Linked DNA regions of Kluyveromyces lactis. The main gene of each other region encodes a partner of the protein of the gene in region 5 in a complex. Links are inferred from orthologs where the notes say so. Each region holds a gene or a part of one and is shown on either strand. Other genes may lie near its edges.

The links. Proteins that work in one complex are often made in the same cells at the same time.
Region 1: MRPS18 (region 5) and MRP2 share a complex: the UniProt entries of both Saccharomyces cerevisiae proteins name them as parts of the mitochondrial small ribosomal subunit. The link is inferred for Kluyveromyces lactis from reciprocal best matches to the Saccharomyces cerevisiae genes MRPS18 and MRP2.
Region 2: MRPS18 (region 5) and MRPS5 share a complex: the UniProt entries of both Saccharomyces cerevisiae proteins name them as parts of the mitochondrial small ribosomal subunit. The link is inferred for Kluyveromyces lactis from reciprocal best matches to the Saccharomyces cerevisiae genes MRPS18 and MRPS5.
Region 3: MRPS18 (region 5) and RSM24 share a complex: the UniProt entries of both Saccharomyces cerevisiae proteins name them as parts of the mitochondrial small ribosomal subunit. The link is inferred for Kluyveromyces lactis from reciprocal best matches to the Saccharomyces cerevisiae genes MRPS18 and RSM24.
Region 4: MRPS18 (region 5) and MRPS12 share a complex: the UniProt entries of both Saccharomyces cerevisiae proteins name them as parts of the mitochondrial small ribosomal subunit. The link is inferred for Kluyveromyces lactis from reciprocal best matches to the Saccharomyces cerevisiae genes MRPS18 and MRPS12.

What each region holds. Positions count from the first base shown.
Region 1 is NC_006038.1:936,767-939,778, forward strand, and holds MRP2 (mitochondrial 37S ribosomal protein uS14m), read right to left. Parts: upstream 1,334-3,012; coding exon 986-1,333; downstream 1-985. Other genes in the region: Rho family GTPase RHO1, read left to right, coding at 1-357; DCG1 (Dcg1p), read right to left, coding at 1,621-2,451; MET16 (phosphoadenylyl-sulfate reductase (thioredoxin)), read right to left, coding at 2,909-3,012. UniProt on the Saccharomyces cerevisiae protein: Component of the mitochondrial ribosome (mitoribosome), a dedicated translation machinery responsible for the synthesis of mitochondrial genome-encoded proteins, including at least some of the essential transmembrane subunits of the mitochondrial respiratory chain.
Region 2 is NC_006038.1:1,001,823-1,005,338, forward strand, and holds MRPS5 (mitochondrial 37S ribosomal protein uS5m), read right to left. Parts: upstream 1,871-3,516; coding exon 986-1,870; downstream 1-985. Other genes in the region: cytochrome oxidase assembly protein SHY1, read right to left, coding at 1-605. UniProt on the Saccharomyces cerevisiae protein: Component of the mitochondrial ribosome (mitoribosome), a dedicated translation machinery responsible for the synthesis of mitochondrial genome-encoded proteins, including at least some of the essential transmembrane subunits of the mitochondrial respiratory chain.
Region 3 is NC_006040.1:1,522,505-1,525,832, forward strand, and holds RSM24 (mitochondrial 37S ribosomal protein mS35), read right to left. Parts: upstream 1,898-3,328; coding exon 986-1,897; downstream 1-985. Other genes in the region: HMO1 (Hmo1p), read left to right, coding at 1-331; histone acetyltransferase NGG1, read left to right, coding at 2,246-3,328. UniProt on the Saccharomyces cerevisiae protein: Component of the mitochondrial ribosome (mitoribosome), a dedicated translation machinery responsible for the synthesis of mitochondrial genome-encoded proteins, including at least some of the essential transmembrane subunits of the mitochondrial respiratory chain.
Region 4 is NC_006042.1:669,810-672,698, reverse strand, and holds MRPS12 (mitochondrial 37S ribosomal protein uS12m), read right to left. Parts: upstream 1,490-2,889; coding exon 986-1,489; downstream 1-985. Other genes in the region: ARC35 (Arc35p), read right to left, coding at 1-585; type 2C protein phosphatase PTC6, read left to right, coding at 2,541-2,889. UniProt on the Saccharomyces cerevisiae protein: Component of the mitochondrial ribosome (mitoribosome), a dedicated translation machinery responsible for the synthesis of mitochondrial genome-encoded proteins, including at least some of the essential transmembrane subunits of the mitochondrial respiratory chain.
Region 5 is NC_006041.1:673,276-676,325, reverse strand, and holds MRPS18 (mitochondrial 37S ribosomal protein YmS18), read right to left. Parts: upstream 1,317-3,050; coding exon 699-1,316; downstream 1-698. Other genes in the region: serine/threonine/tyrosine protein kinase MCK1, read left to right, coding at 2,539-3,050. UniProt on the Saccharomyces cerevisiae protein: Component of the mitochondrial ribosome (mitoribosome), a dedicated translation machinery responsible for the synthesis of mitochondrial genome-encoded proteins, including at least some of the essential transmembrane subunits of the mitochondrial respiratory chain.

The DNA.
Region 1 (3,012 bases), on a different chromosome or scaffold from region 5:
TACTCAATTGATTTGCCAGATTCCTTAGAAAACGTGATGGAAAAATGGATCTCTGAAGTTTTACACTTTTGTCAAGGTGTTCCAATCATCTTGGTTGGTTGTAAAGCAGATTTGAGAAATGATCCTCAAGTTGTTGAAGAACTAAGAGCTCAAGGATTACAACCTGTGTCTCAGGCTCAAGCACAAGAAGTCGCTGACCAAATCGGTGCTGTTGACTACATCGAATGTTCTGCCAAGACCGGTTACGGTGTCAGAGAAGTCTTCGAGGCTGCTACAAGAGCTTCTTTGGTCGGTAAACAAGGTAAGAGCAAACCTAAGACTAAGTCTAGCAAAAAAAAGAAGTGTGTCGTCTTGTAAATAAAGACACGCACGCCCCAAACCCACTCTTCACCCCCTTATCTCCAACTTCATTTGAATTTACCTTGAAACAGAGGACTGAGCTTTGAGGATATTATTATTAGGCGATGGGAATTGTTTACAACCGTTAATTGGCAGAAGTAAAGATCCAAAAAAAAAGAAGAGGGAAGACGAACAAACCATATTCATTTGTTTCTAATTGATCAATTTTTAATATACAAATGTCAGCAATTAATTTCCGTTGAATTTCCTAATTTTTTCTCCTCGTTCTTTTCTTTGTTTCCATCTGGTTTCAAGTGACCATCCCTCCCTGACATTTTCTCTTCTACCTCTCTTCTGTTTTGTGTGTTTCTACCTATAAATTATTTTTATATACCTACACTCTTTTATTTTGTAAGAAACTTAAATATTATCACCACTATACTGCACTTTCTCATCTTATAAATGTCACTTGCTTTGCCACAACCCAAGCGCTTCTTTTACATTGATTAAACCTTGTATTTTTTAATGTCTATACACAAGCTTTATATATGTTGAGTTAATTAAAAATATTTACATGCATGCGGGAGAGAAAGATTCCAACTTTTACTAACCTCAGTATCAGGGAACAAAAGATGCTAAACTGCATCTACCATACACCCTTCTTCACACCAGGTAGATCACCTTTCCTGGCAAGTTCTCTGAATTGCGATCTACACAATCTGAAATCACTCAGAACAGATCTGGAGTGTCCCGTTTCAATACATCTGTTCTTGATTTGTGTCATTCTTGTATAGTTAGGCATCACAGAAAGTTGTAACTGAGCTTCCATTCTCGACCTTGGAGGTAGAGTAGTATTTCTAGCAATGAATTTCAATGCCTTTACAGTGACTTCATTGTCTGCAACTTGCTGTCTCTTGAAATTGTCTCTGATAACTCTAGCATTCAAATACGTTGAAGGAAGCTTTGTCTTGATTGGAAATCTGAAACCACCCATGTTGTTTATATCTACAGCCTTCCTTTGGATATACTAATTGCTAGGATAACTATCGAAATTAGTCTCACAGATACTGAATACGCCGAAAACCAAAGAATGCATCCACTAATGCTTGAACTTTATTCTTCATCTTCCGGAGAAGCTCCAAACTCGTTTTTTTCTCTTTCAAAGCTTGAAGTTCATATCATGTTAAACGTTCTTGATGGAGGTCACCTGACTATATTGGCACTATACACGTTATATAAGGAATGGAATGAACACAGCACCATGCCAATGGACTCCCAGTATCATGACTTCTTGATTTCAACTGTATCACCTCTTAGTTCTCTTGCCTTTCTAGCACTTGAATAAGCTCCTTGTTTGGATGTACCGTGTAATCCACTTCTGTAGACAGCCGAAACAATGTTGATCCCGCATACCACTCCGTCAATAATTGGCACTTCATAGCCATTCTGCTGTAAAGCGTTTGCAACAGCATTTTTCAAGTCGCTCATCCCTGCACAGCCCAAGATGATGGTGTCTGCGTGATATTCTTCTACTAAGGTCAAGGCAGTTTTAGACATTGTTTTATGAAGCTCAGCTTCTTCCACTTTGACCAAATCCGATACGGTTTTGATACCAGAACTTAACAATCCAACGCAAAATGTGGACATGCCAAGACCTGCTATGGTTTCCTCATCTCTTAACTGAGCCTTGTAAATTGATGCAAGAATACCGAATTTTGATCCAATGATCCTGGATGAGTACACGGCTGCTTCCACGATACCCATGCACACAACATCATCAAATTCTTCCCTGATAGATTTTATCAATGGATGGTCGCTAAAACATCCAACAAGTACACAATCGACTTGGTTTATTACATCGTAAGCATCTTCCATAACGGCAATTGCAGATTGAATACCATCGAGATGACCCTCAATCACATTGGGTGCCTTACCAAATGGTGCAGTGTACCCGTAAACCACAGTGTCTGGAGCTACATGACCAGCCAATATCTTTAAACAGGCATCGGTCATTGCTTGGGTTGAATTAGGGTTTACAAATAAGACCTTGATGAGCTCATCATCTGGTAAACTCTTCTTGTGCTTTACGAAAGGTAATTTAGACAACGACATCCTTGCTTGTTAGTGTCAGCTATGTTCTATGATTCAATATGTTAATCATCCTGGAATAATGAGCTACTTGACTCCTATCATACAGAGTTATATAAGTTTCTCTCTTTGGTTTATGTTGCTTTTCGTATCTGTCCGGACGCATGTTTTCAGAACCTTTGATTCATTTTTTCCCGGTTATCATAGTGTGAATCAGCCCAAAAACTTTAGGCTTTGACAGTCATGAGAATTGATGAGAGATTCAAGCTGGGGGTTTCTCTTCCAAGTTGCATGGGTAAGGTTCGCAACTGTTCATACACTTTCCACCTTAGTCGCAACATATATAATATGTACATTAAGTGACTAAAAATGTCACGTTGTGTATCTAAACTGAAACCATAAATAAAGCTAGATAAGAGATGCCGCATGCACAGTATACAACAGAAAAGATATATATATATATATATATATCAAACACATATCATTCTCTTTGTTTGAGATATTGTGCAAATCTGCTTGTCTCGTGAATCCCACATTCCGTCTTTGCCTTACCCTTCCACCTGCCTGATCTCTCATCCTCACCTT
Region 2 (3,516 bases), on a different chromosome or scaffold from region 5:
ATTGATGTCAAATCTTTAGCTGCACGCACTAACACTGTAATTGTCACGTTATCGCCTTGAGGTAAAGACAAATGTTGCAAGTTACGAGATGATGGAACGATTTTCTCCTCCGAGATCCAACCACGTTCAATCAAAATTCTTTCTCCCGTATCCTTTCTGATGAAAGGCGTATATAAAACGTACCCCTTGATCCCTCCTCTAACACGGGGGCCGACAAAAATCTCTTCATCATGCAAGAATCTACCGGTCATAGTACACTTGCGGTATTCCCAGTCTTCGCACATATCCGGTGTAAACGTTTTAGGTAACGGAATAGGATCGTAGGTTAATTTGTCTTCGCAGGAAGCAATTAGATTGGTTTTCCATTTCAATCTTCTTAATTGCCAGGTTCCTAAGTAGAACGAGATCACGGGCATGGCAATCATCAGTCCTAGAAAAATACGCTTACCCCATCGTGATTCCTTCTTTTGAAATCCTTCAGTAGGTGTCTTCTTTGTTTTGATAGGTTTCCAGTCAACAGTCGATGTCCTGACCGTGCTATAAAGTCGTCTTACCGGCCTTACCTTTGGTACAGTGAATGGCCTAGCCACAATGAAGCGAAACATATGCTTTGCTAATTGTGTGATACTAGTAGCTTCCGCTAAGAATTGAAATGCGTTTGAACAATTAGTAACAGCAAAGAAGTTAAAGCTTTTCTAATCATGTTTATACGCGATTAGATATACTACTCATCTGCTTTCATCATCTTCATTTTCCAATCTTTTAAAGATCAGAAAAGTGTGAAATATTCTAAAAGTCACGTGAAGAAGAATTTGGAACTCCGACGTTGTGGGGATATTAATATGTACAAGGTTACGTAGATCTGAGTATTGATTGTTTTATGAGAATGATCATCTAGGTCGTAATTGAATCATGTGAAGGTTGTTCAGATAGTTTCTTCATAGGAGAAAAAGTGAAAGTAATTTAAATATGGAGTTGGTTGAAATCAAGCAGAGTAATATACCTTCTTGACATCCACAATTTTCTTACCTCTACCTAGAGCAATTTCATCTATAGATTTTTGAGACTTGGTGATAGCGTCTATAGTACCCTTGGCTATGTTCATGATATTTCTACTCTTGTAAACTTTTGCACTTAAATCTTTGATACCAGCACATTCACAAATTTCATAAATTACGTGATTGACTCTTAGACCGAAACCTGGCTTAGCAGCTCTCAAGAATAGTTTCACACCGTGGTATCTATAGTCTATGTCTTCAAAAATAGTTCTTTTTTCAAATCTAGGCACTTCTTTTAAGTTCCTCACTGCATCCCAATGAGCTTTCTTGATGGATTCTGCCATATCTTCACGGGATTTACCCTCACCGATTCCTACCATACCATTCTTATCACCAACAACCACAAGAGAATAGAAGGATGGAATTTTACCTTTTGCAGTTTGATTAGAAACCATCTTTAAGATCAATGGTTTCATCACTAGTTTTCTGGCGATATGTTGAGCATCGAACCCCGTCTGTAGTTGGATATTATTGGCAATGTTTTGTATATCTGATCTGCCTTCAGTTTGTAAGTATGAACCCACAGGAGGAGTCAAATCTGGATGCTTTTCCATCTCTTGAACGAATACCGAAGATGAGCTTGAATGTAGATGTGGAGAGTTTGGTTTATAATCCCAATAAGGATGTAATGTGGCAAAGTTATCCAAATATGGTGGTGAGAATTCAACATTTGTCTGTGGTTTGAACTCTACATTGTCAGGAATTACTTTATCAGCTAAGGAAATAGACTTGAGTAGTTCTGGAGAGTAGTATTTCTTCAACAGGTCTTGTTGAAATACACGAGCAGTGCTCGAGAAACAACGGACGAACATTCTCAAATACGATCAGGGTTATTGAGAAAGACGCTGCAACTCACTATGTTGAATTTTGCTCCTCGACCTGTCTAAACCTGCTTCAAAAGACTTCTGGTGTCAATTATATTAGACCTTATTCTGGTGTATATGTCTGAGTATGTTGCCATTCTGTATTAACTATTGAAATTTTTTTAATTTTTGAAAATCGATCAATCGTTACAAATGAGAGAGCATTATTCTTGATCATGTGATTAGAAATTCACAATTCTTAGCTGAAGATCCACCCACTAAGGTATGGTAAGATTAGCAGTGGTTGCACATCTTTAAAATCTTCTTCAGACGTTCAAAGGAGGATACATGGAGTATGTTTCAGGTATGTTCCACGCATCTTTACCCTTACATGGTAGATGACACTATCATATGGAATGCTATCCGGGTAACATGTTTTTTTGTTTCATTTCTGAGTCTGTTTCATCCAATATTGAGCTCTGTCGCTTAAACAACGACTTACCTGCTTTAATAAAGCCGGTCACTAAAACATCTATATTAGTGGTTTAGTATCGCTATATACAATTTCCAGAGAAGATCTTTTTTCAAAACACTACATATTCTTCTGATACATAGTGGAGCAACATGTTTCAGCTGGCAATGTTATACACGGGCTTTGTTGTCATTAGAATCAATATTAGTACCATATCCTTTCAGTACCTTAAAGATGAAACATTCATATCACGAAGACTCTTCTTTTAGGTATATATTTTACTATGTTTTAAAACCCATTTAGAAAGATTCTTTATCTACAGGAAATAATGAACTAAATACAAATAGTATTTAGTTATGCAGGAACATGAAGACCAATAGAATAAAGATGATCTGGTGTCTTGCCCTGCATGAAGAGAGAGTAATCCCAAAATGCCTGAATTTTTGAAAAACTGCAGATGTTTTCTTTCTCAATTTTGGTCCGAGAATAAATTCATATGAGACATACCAATCCTGTTGGTTCTCTTTCCAAATGAAATCAACTCCACTTATCTGACAAGATTACCATATAAGTTACTCGTTAATTTATATAAAAATATTGGAACGAAATACTCGTTCACATGGATGGAGGTAGAATCTGAAATCAATTCGGAAGAAGTTATGTTTTCTGGAACCAATCCCTAGTGGCAATGCGACATCAATAGTGATTTACTTGTGCGTCATGTGAAAATTCCATGCCGCAGGTAGATTGACAAACTAATGCATTTACTAACGCTACCCAGCAGTGATATACATATGGTAAGAAAGGAAACCACCTGGCCTTGCAAGTTTTCTTTTCCTCTTATTTTTCCTGCCAATACGTGCAGTAGCATTCTCTTAATATTTTCTCTAATGCAGCGTTTTCGTTCTCTGACAAGAAGTAATGGTTCTAGCCAGATCTTCTTCCTCGCATGAAAAATAAAATGCTCGACAGATACCAGAAATGACCGTTCCGATTCCAGAACGTTACACATTCCTCTTCTCCGTCACTTTAAACTTTCATTGTTACCCGAATATTATTATCTAGGTATTTTTTTCAGTGTTATCTGCCGGATTTGAGAAGTACTTGTTGCGAATATACTTTTTGTAATGACAAACAGACGTTGAACAAAGCTGTCTGCTCTTCGCTGTTTAAATTTTATCAA
Region 3 (3,328 bases), on a different chromosome or scaffold from region 5:
ATTGTCTTCGACTGAAATCACTCAAGAAATTTCAAAGAAGTGGAAAGACTTAGGAGACTCTGAGAAAGACAAATGGAAACAAGCGTACAACGCAGAACTAGAAAATTATCAAAGGGAAAAACAAAAATACTTGGAAGCTAAGAAAAATGGTACCTTAACATTAAATGAAGGTCCAAATTCTGCCCCTGTTCCACTTCCTGATTACTTGCAATCTGCCGAAGATTTCGGCTTGCCCCATATTGAAAAAAGACCATATGATGAAGATGCTTCCAGTGAAAAGAAAAAGAAGAAAAAGAAGAAGGATAAGGGAAAAGACAAATCTAAGGACTAACGAGCTGGGATTTATATAATGCTTCATACATATATATGATGACACTCTTTCTTTCTTTGTAAAAATAGTTGTAACAATGTGTAATAATATACAAGAAATATAAGAATAATACATTTAATCTGTATGGGATGATCTTCACAGCACAAGCTGCTATAGGAAGCATTGTGGAGTAATTGAAGATTTTCTTTGTGGTATTGTTTCAAATTTTTCATATCACTTCACTTATTTTTATTCTTTCCCAATTGAAATTAATCTTTGATCCTTTAATTTGTAAAACACTTACGTGCAATTCAGTACATGGACCTTATTTTCGTACACACGTTGTTCAAATACTATGCCAAAATAATGAGTGGTATATTTTAATGTCAAGTCAACGTATAACTTATCTACAATGCATCTATGCAGTGCCAAATTTCTTCAAATATTCCGCCGTCAGTTTACTTCTTTGAATTACTCGGTGACAAGTTTGAAAGAATCTCATTTAGCATTGCTGATCAACTAAATCTACAGTTGAAGTAGCTATCATCTTAGATATGTAAGGTTTGTCTTTTCACCCTTTAACGAATAGATGGCTGTTGCTATACAATTAAATTGGTCATTAATTTGTGCGTATATGGCTATTTACAGTTGTTTTTGTGTGTTTTAAAAGGTTGATCAAAGCTGTTTGTGTAATAGCTCAACAAGATCCACTGTTTTCCTTGGAGCATCTTGTGGACGTTTCCACTCTTCTGGGAACTCGTACCCACGCTTTTTCTTACGCAATTGTCTTGCGATGATATGTCTTTTATCGAGAGGAACATCAGCAAAGTCGTCTTTCAAATCTTTAGCCTCCTTGAGTAATTCTAGAAGAATGCTGTTTAAGTACTTTGCATTTTGAGCTGGTTCTTCATAGCGATCAGAAGACATTCTCAAAGTATCTGTAGTAGAATCATAACGTGTTTTTGCCAATAGACGCAGCTTATGCAGTTCCCTCTGTTCCAAGCCGAGATCCGATGTCTTCACAGATAAGACAACCTTACGAGAATTTGGATGTTCTTCACCAAGATATGTTGTATAACGATAAGCTACTGGATGAGTCTTTGTTGAAGGGCGTTTATATTCTTGACGATACTGCGCAAGTAAAGGAAGTTCAAATGCTGCCAAACGATTGTAGAAACGTTGTTCACGATGTTGATGAACTAAAATTTGTGATTGTGATGGCAAATCATCAAACTGATATTGATCCAAGTTGACATGCTCGTCTAGACCTCTTGCAATGCCCATTTCTGCCTCAACTTCTTCAGGTGTCTTATGATAGTACTCTTTGAAAAGTTTTGCTGGAATTCCAGACGCTTCGGCAGTGGGTAACAATGCTTTCAACTCTTCTTCGCAAGGCTTATATAGGGGCCCTAGTCTTGCCTTTCTTTCATTGTGCAACGTTATGATATCTTTACTATCCAAACCGATCCATTTCGATGGATCCTTGTAAAGTGTTGAGGAAATGGTCGCAACTTCTTTCGTAACGGTGGAGTTTAAACGTCTACTACAAAAGAATGCAGTACGTTGCACGCTAGCACCAGTAATCATTGTTGAGTGCCTAAGATGATTACGTTATCGCAGACCTTTTAACACTTTGAATATAATTGGCTTTCTCTGGTTCCGATTGGTGTTGTATCGAGGATTATTGGTATTTCTGGTAAACTTGGAAAATTTTTTGCAGAGAAAAGGCGGAGGTCACGTGATAATAAATTTTCTATGAAAATATCTGTCAAAGTAACGGAAGATAAACAACGAAGCAACAAACAGAACAAAGTCATTAATATTGCCAAAGCTGGAAAGCAGCCTATCTTTTAACGATAGTCAACAGTGGACAAAGGTGGAATCAAGTAGATTGCTAAACCAGATCTTCACTCAGTAAAACACCACTGGTATATTATGTCAAGGAATACGCGAAGAGGCAAAGGAATAAGAGAGCAGAAAAGAGATGACGCTGGGCTACATGAACCGTCGAATATTCTAAATTCGATGCTGAAGTCTTTAGACTTGACTTTTGAGAATGACATAGGTTTACTGAACGGTAAATACGTGAGGTCGGTTCCTGAGAAACCGGTTTTGCAAACAACTAAAGATCAACTAGAAAATCTAGGAAAATGTTTGGAGAAAATTGCAGCTAGTGATCAAGAGAATTTAGACCTAATCAAGGAAATGCGGGAAGATATAATAAGGCTCGAAGATGAGAAACAAAAAGAGAAGGAGGAAGCAGAAGCTGCAACAAACCTTGCAGCCCAGAACGCAGAAAATGATTCAATTAATAAAAAACTTGATGAATCTAGCGAAGTCGTATCGGATAAAAGATCAATTACAGAAGAGAACGAGGAGACAGACAAAAGGCCACAAGATACTATTGAAGAAGCGGAAGTTTTATCATCAGATGGTCACATATCAAAGAAAGCAAAGCTAGATATTGATAAAATGGAAAATGATCCTAACATTAGAAACCCCAAGTCTGAATTTGTAGTATCTCAAACGTTACCTGCTGCTGCAATGAGATTAGGTTTGTTTCAAGAGGAGGGTCTTGAAGCTACTGGTGAGGAATATTTGAAAAAGAAATACGGGGTAGTAAGCTATCCTACAAATGACTTAAAGGAACTTCTACCCGGTGAGCTGCCTGATATGGATTTCTCGAAACCTAAACCCACAAACCAAATTCAGTTTAATACTTTTCTCTCATCCATCGAGGCCTTTTACAGAGAATTCAATGATGACGATATCAAATTCCTTCAAAACAAATTCATCATGCCACAAAATTTGCAGTTTGTGAAATCTTATGACCCCGAAGTGACTCCATACACAATTCCTAAATTAGGACCACTATACACAGACGTGTGGTTGAAAGAAGACAATAATCAAAACATTGCGAATCTGACTCCTCCACCTATCAGTGATCCTATTAGTATCTTGCCTAAGAAATCAGGGAATGACATTTCGGATGGTGTACTTGACAATGAAGAAGTGTCT
Region 4 (2,889 bases), on a different chromosome or scaffold from region 5:
AACTTTACCGAAAACTTTGTCAGTTTCATCTTGGAATATAGTTTCGAATATAACAGTGATACGATCAAAGGACGGCTTGATGTATATGTTTTCATCATCTCTGTATTTGATAACCATAGCCCTGGCCTCCTTTGATTTTTCCACTTGGTCTATTTCATTCAATTGAGAAAGAGCATTACTCTGGCCAAACGCTAAATAGAATGGATATGACATTACAAGGATCTTAAACAAAGATGCTTGCACAATAGATTGCGCAGTGATTTGAGATAGATCAACAGTAATGGTAAAATCGTAACCGGCCTCCTTTTTAGCAGATGATAGAGCCAAACCTGGTACTTCATCGAATTTTGCCTGCAAGAACCCTTGTAAATCGTTCCCACTCTCATTACAAGATTGCGTAGCCTTGGTTCTGATGGAAACTAATAGGTTCGACTTATCAGTGCCATCGTTGGTGATGTGTAACGTTGTATAATCAAAGTCGGAGATGATTCTGTCCAAAGTTAAAGGAGACCCATTGTTGTAAGCTTCCAAAGCTTCTGTTAATGTCTTTTGGACCAATAGGTTGTATGGTTTAAGGTGTAACATTATTATGTATTGATATTAGAAGGCTCACAAGTGTTCACCCAGGCTTTTTTTTCGAACAAGTCTATGAGCTTTTCTTCAATTGACTTGGAACAATATCAACTTGTAAGTTTCCTCAACACTGAGCAGGTTTAGTCTCTTCGAAATTTCCCAATTCCTTGCAGATGATGAATCTTTCTTTCTGTTTGTTCCAATAGGGGCACCTTTTCGTTGAAATCGTTGTTAACTAAATTTTCAGCACTTTTCTATGATGGAAAAACCATCCGAACAAAATTTCGGTCACGTGGCCATAAAGATTGAGCAACCAGTAGATAGATTATTCGCATATTTACATGAAGGTCTAGTTTATAAACATAAGTATATATTTTATGTTGATAATTCAGAATATAATACTGTTGGTATCTTACTCCTTTGTTGGTTTCTTCACACCGTACTTCGATCTGGAGCTGATTCTGTTGACAACACCGGCCAAATCACCGGCACCACGGACAACATGATATTTCACACCAGGTAAATCTTGGCAACGGCCTCCACGAACATATACAATACTGTGCTCTTGTGCGTTATGGCCTTCGCCTGGGATATATGCAGAAACAATGTTACCATTGGTTAATCTCACTCTACAAGCTTTTCTCTGAGCAGAATTAGGTTTCTTTGGCTTCAATACCATCACTCTTAGCACAACTCCTTTACGAATCGGGCATACCTCCAAATCTGGGGATTCAGTGATCTTCTTACGGCCAGGAGGCTTGACCCCTCTCTTTATTTGGTTCAACGTGGCTTGTATTGGTGAAGTATATGAGAAAGAACGTTGTTGCAGTGGTGGTGCAAATGCTATGCTTGAACGAACATTACGCAACGATAGTCTAGTCAGACTACTGCTCAATCCGAAAACCTGTTTGAACATTGGTATCTTTGACAGGATTGTTTCTTAAGATCCAGTGCACGTAAGTCAAACTCAGAGTTGAACTTACGCCAACATTTATTCACTGACCGATTGATATAACTCTTTCAATTCAACATTTGCTTCATAATTTTTTGTCAGTTTCTGATGATGAAAAATCATAGTTGAAAATATTCGGAAGTCATGTGATCGAATATGTGTTGTTGCTGATGTCCGGGAAATTGTTCAGAAAATGTGCATGGTTTGAGAGATCTTTTAACCTAAAAGATTTTGTTCATTTCGTTGGGAACACCAGCTGCACTATGCGGGTTCCGAATTACGAGAAAAGTCCTTACTGAGGTAGTTGTTGTATTTCCTATTTTGAAATATCAAACAACTATACTGGATTATGGACGATCAAGCTGTAAGGTGGGTGCAGGTAAATAGGGTGTTTGAACCAACTACTTGAATTATGCGTGATAGAATATTGCGGGGTAGTTTGACTTCCGGGCTCGAGTAATTAGGTAGGCTGGTGTTAAAGCGACTGTCTATTTTTTTAGTTTTTGTATCACGTGCATAAGATCAGATAGTTTTCTCTCCTGGTGTCTGCTGCCGAGTAACAGCCGTTCCGTCACTATTTGGCAAAATGCGTCAAGATAGCCCCATATACGGTAGTTAACGATAGCAATGGCTTATATACACCTCCATATCACGCTAGCATGTGGTAATGAAACACTAGTGAGATTTTGACGGTTTCCTATATGAAGAGGGTAGTGTTGAAGCACTATTGCGGAATGTATAGAAAAAAAAAAAAAAAAAAAAAAAAAAAAAAACAGTAGGTACACTTTAAAGGAAAATAAATCTAGTTATAATAAAGTCTAGTGAATATACAAGGGTTTGGCTCTTTTTTTTGGCTCGTTGATGCATCCGCCACACACGAGAGAAGTGTTTTCAATTGGCATTCTTGAACCTTTCTTATATGTCTGGGGTATTCGGTTATAAGATATTGTGAGGCTAATTCTTGTGTTACCATTTGTGTTAAGTTGAACACGATTGTGATTATAGCCAACCCGAGATGGGTAAAACCCAGTCATTCATTCACCTAAGGCCAGCTGATCTTCTACAAAAGACAGCTGGCAGATCGACTCTACAAACTACAGCGGCAAGCCATGCTGCTTCGAAAGAAACAAAACCTCATATGTTAAGGGTTCATTTGAACAAATATCCTGGTTTCATCGGGCATGCGACTTCAAGGATTAATAGACTATACAACGAGGATTCTTATTCTATGAATATTCTGAAGTTGCCAACAACTATAGCCGAAAGCTCGTTGTTAAACTCAAAAAAATCGATCGCTACTAAGATGAAACTTTGGAAAGAATTACCTCCCCAGAGAAACGTTTTGAATATTTCTATATTTGACG
Region 5 (3,050 bases):
AAAACGTTCAATATTACTTTTGATGAAACAATACAGATACAAGGTCGCAAGCGAAACTGTCCGTAGTCGAAAGGAATATTCAGCACGAACAGGGTATCCCTGGCCAGGTAGCACAATCGCACTGTGATTTGCAGGTACAGGATATGGCTCCAGGCTCAGGGAAGGAATGGATGATAGGCTGGATGGACAGCAGTTCCTGCCTACGCACCTCAGAATGTCAGTGCGAGTAGAGGGGAGAGTGGGCAGAATCAGAGTCCTCTCGCTGGGAAGACTAGACTCGAACGGAGCGACAGAAGGAGAACGGTGAGAACCTGGCAGCCGGAACGCCTCCTCTGCCTTTCCTTTTTTTAGAACCTCCAATTGAAATTTTAATTACCTAAAATGGAATACTAAAATACCTAACAATTTTTACAAAAAATCTAAAGCCAAATCCGTGCATCCACAAAACAGTCCCGCTACTTTCCGGAAAATTTTAAATCTTCGATGAAATTAGCATCCAGAGATTATAAGGCATGAGCAATGTCATAATTGTGTGAAATCATACTTCGAATTGCTGTCTTAATGTATTTAAACGAAAATTCTGGTGCGTTACGTTAAATTTATATACATGCATTATTTGTTATTATACCGAATTATTTTCCAAATTCATGTCTATACACAGAGACTATTAGTGAAAGATGAAATGGTGAGAGACCGAATCACAATCTTCTTGGTCTTGGGGCCTTCACACCACCGAATTTCAATTCAGTAGCATCGGCTACTCTAGATATGTGACGTCTGATGAGGTTTCCTTCCTTACCGTTCAATGCACTGATGAAAGCATCTCTTCCCTTACCGAAGTCTCTCATAACAATTTCTATATTCTTATCCAGTAGCTTCTTCTGATAAAGAGTTTCAAATAACTTAGTTGCTGTTTGGAATGAGGCTTCATATTCACCACGGGCAGCTTTACGGAACCCTAAATGACCAGTAGATAAATGAAATTTGACCTGTTGTGGGAGTTTCAAATAGTATAGATATTTTTCGTTGTAGGATAATTGTGGATTGTTCGCCAAAAAGTTTCTATCCTCCATTACGGCACTGTATGTGAAATGTGTATTGTTCTTAGTGAATCTGCAGTTCAATATATATTTTATCACTGCTTCATCGACTCTCCCTTTCTTATTGCTACCACGAAGAGTATTAGGTTGGACAACATTGGTGTCTTCCATCACTGGAGCCTTTTCTGATCCTTTGACAGATGAAAATAAGATGGAAGCCACATCTTGGTTTGTCCTGGCCGTTGAGCTGAACAGTCTCACTAATGTTCTCAGCATCGTGGTGTATTTTCGACGCCGATTTATATTAACCACAACCTGTGTCTTTCTCGAATGCAGGTCTCCATACTCAGACGAATAGTATTCCTCTATGAAATGCAAACTCTAAATATCTTCTGTTTTCCCAATTCATTTTCAAGATATGCTCATAAACCATTACCCGGTGTTGCATTAACACGTGACTAACTTGTCATTACCCGGTGTATAAGGATTAGCCTTTAATGTGAAGTGCCTGCAGTCCACTGGCGGAAGATATCACGTTGATAAAGAGTGCCGAGATGCGATGGGGTAAACATTTGATAGAAATATTATATGCAGACTGGCGAAGATCACCTCGCATTCCCCAAACCATTTCTACAACTTGATGCTACAATCAAGAGAAAGTTCAGGTGGAGGATATAGGACCTGAACCTGAGTAATTCCTCATTAATGCTATAAATGCCAATTTAACTTCGTTTGTGCATTCATATCTAGAGAGAGTGTAGTACTCTCAGAGTCGAACTTCATAAAAGCTGGCTCTGGGAGATCTTAGAATTAAATTTTGTTTGGAACGTTCCCTCAATTAGAACGTCTTTTATATCGCTTTTATCAATAATTGTGTAACTCAGTCAGTAGTCAGTCAGTCATATTGATATCAGATTCTTGGAAAACCGAATATGAAAATCAATTTTAGTTTTAGGAAATTAGGAAAAAACAAACAAAAAATAAACCAGAACCTTGTTTCAAAGTAACAAATAGGGTCTCTGATAACGGACACAACACTGCTAAGGGTGCTCAAACGTTTAAGTTCTGGGAACTTCTAGTTGTTGAATTTGCCGAGCGATTGCAGCGCGAAGAATTTACTGCGAAGAAACATTATAGACACTGCTGCATCACTTGTTGCAAGGGACTAATTGACTTGCTTGAGTAAGAGTGTTTTCCCCCTGTTGTGTTGCTTTTATTAATATTAGCGATTTCATTTCATCAATTCATTTAATACAGATTTTATTGATTCATTACAATTCAATATTTCCCTTTTTTTCCTGAACCATCCACGTTACATCCGTTAGGAACATATCTATATTCTAAGGTTTGCTTGCAAAATAACGGTTGAAGTTTGTAATTTGAAGACTTGAGCGAAATACAACGAACAAAAAGTGGTAATTTTTTTCTTATTCGATAGATATCGCATCGCTTTTGTATCTGTTACTATCTGTCTTCTTTCCCCTTATTGCGATTCGCCATGTCTATGCAAAGATTAGATGAATACGTGGCTCATGATGTCATCAGTAATAAATCCAATGTCAAGCGAGAAATGCTCGTAAAGGAATATAAGCGAATTGGGCAAGGTGCATTTGGCACGGTGGTGCAAGCTTACCTAACACCGGATAATCAGAAGTGGTTGGGTCCTTTTGCCATTAAGAAGGTTCCTGCTCAGACTGAGTATAAATCTAGAGAGTTAGAGATTTTACGAATTGCGGACCATCCAAATGTTGTCAAATTGGAATATTTCTACACTCATATCTCACCAACAGATCATAAATTATACCAACATTTGGCGATGGAATGCTTGCCCGAAATGCTACAAAACGAAATTTTACGATATAAGAAGAATAACTTGGAGTTACCGTTGAAGCACGTTAAACTATACGCCTACCAAATTGCTAGAGGTATGCTTTACCTACATGCACTAGGAATATGCCATAGAGACATAAAACCTTCAAACGTCTTGGTTGATCCACAAACGGGTATATT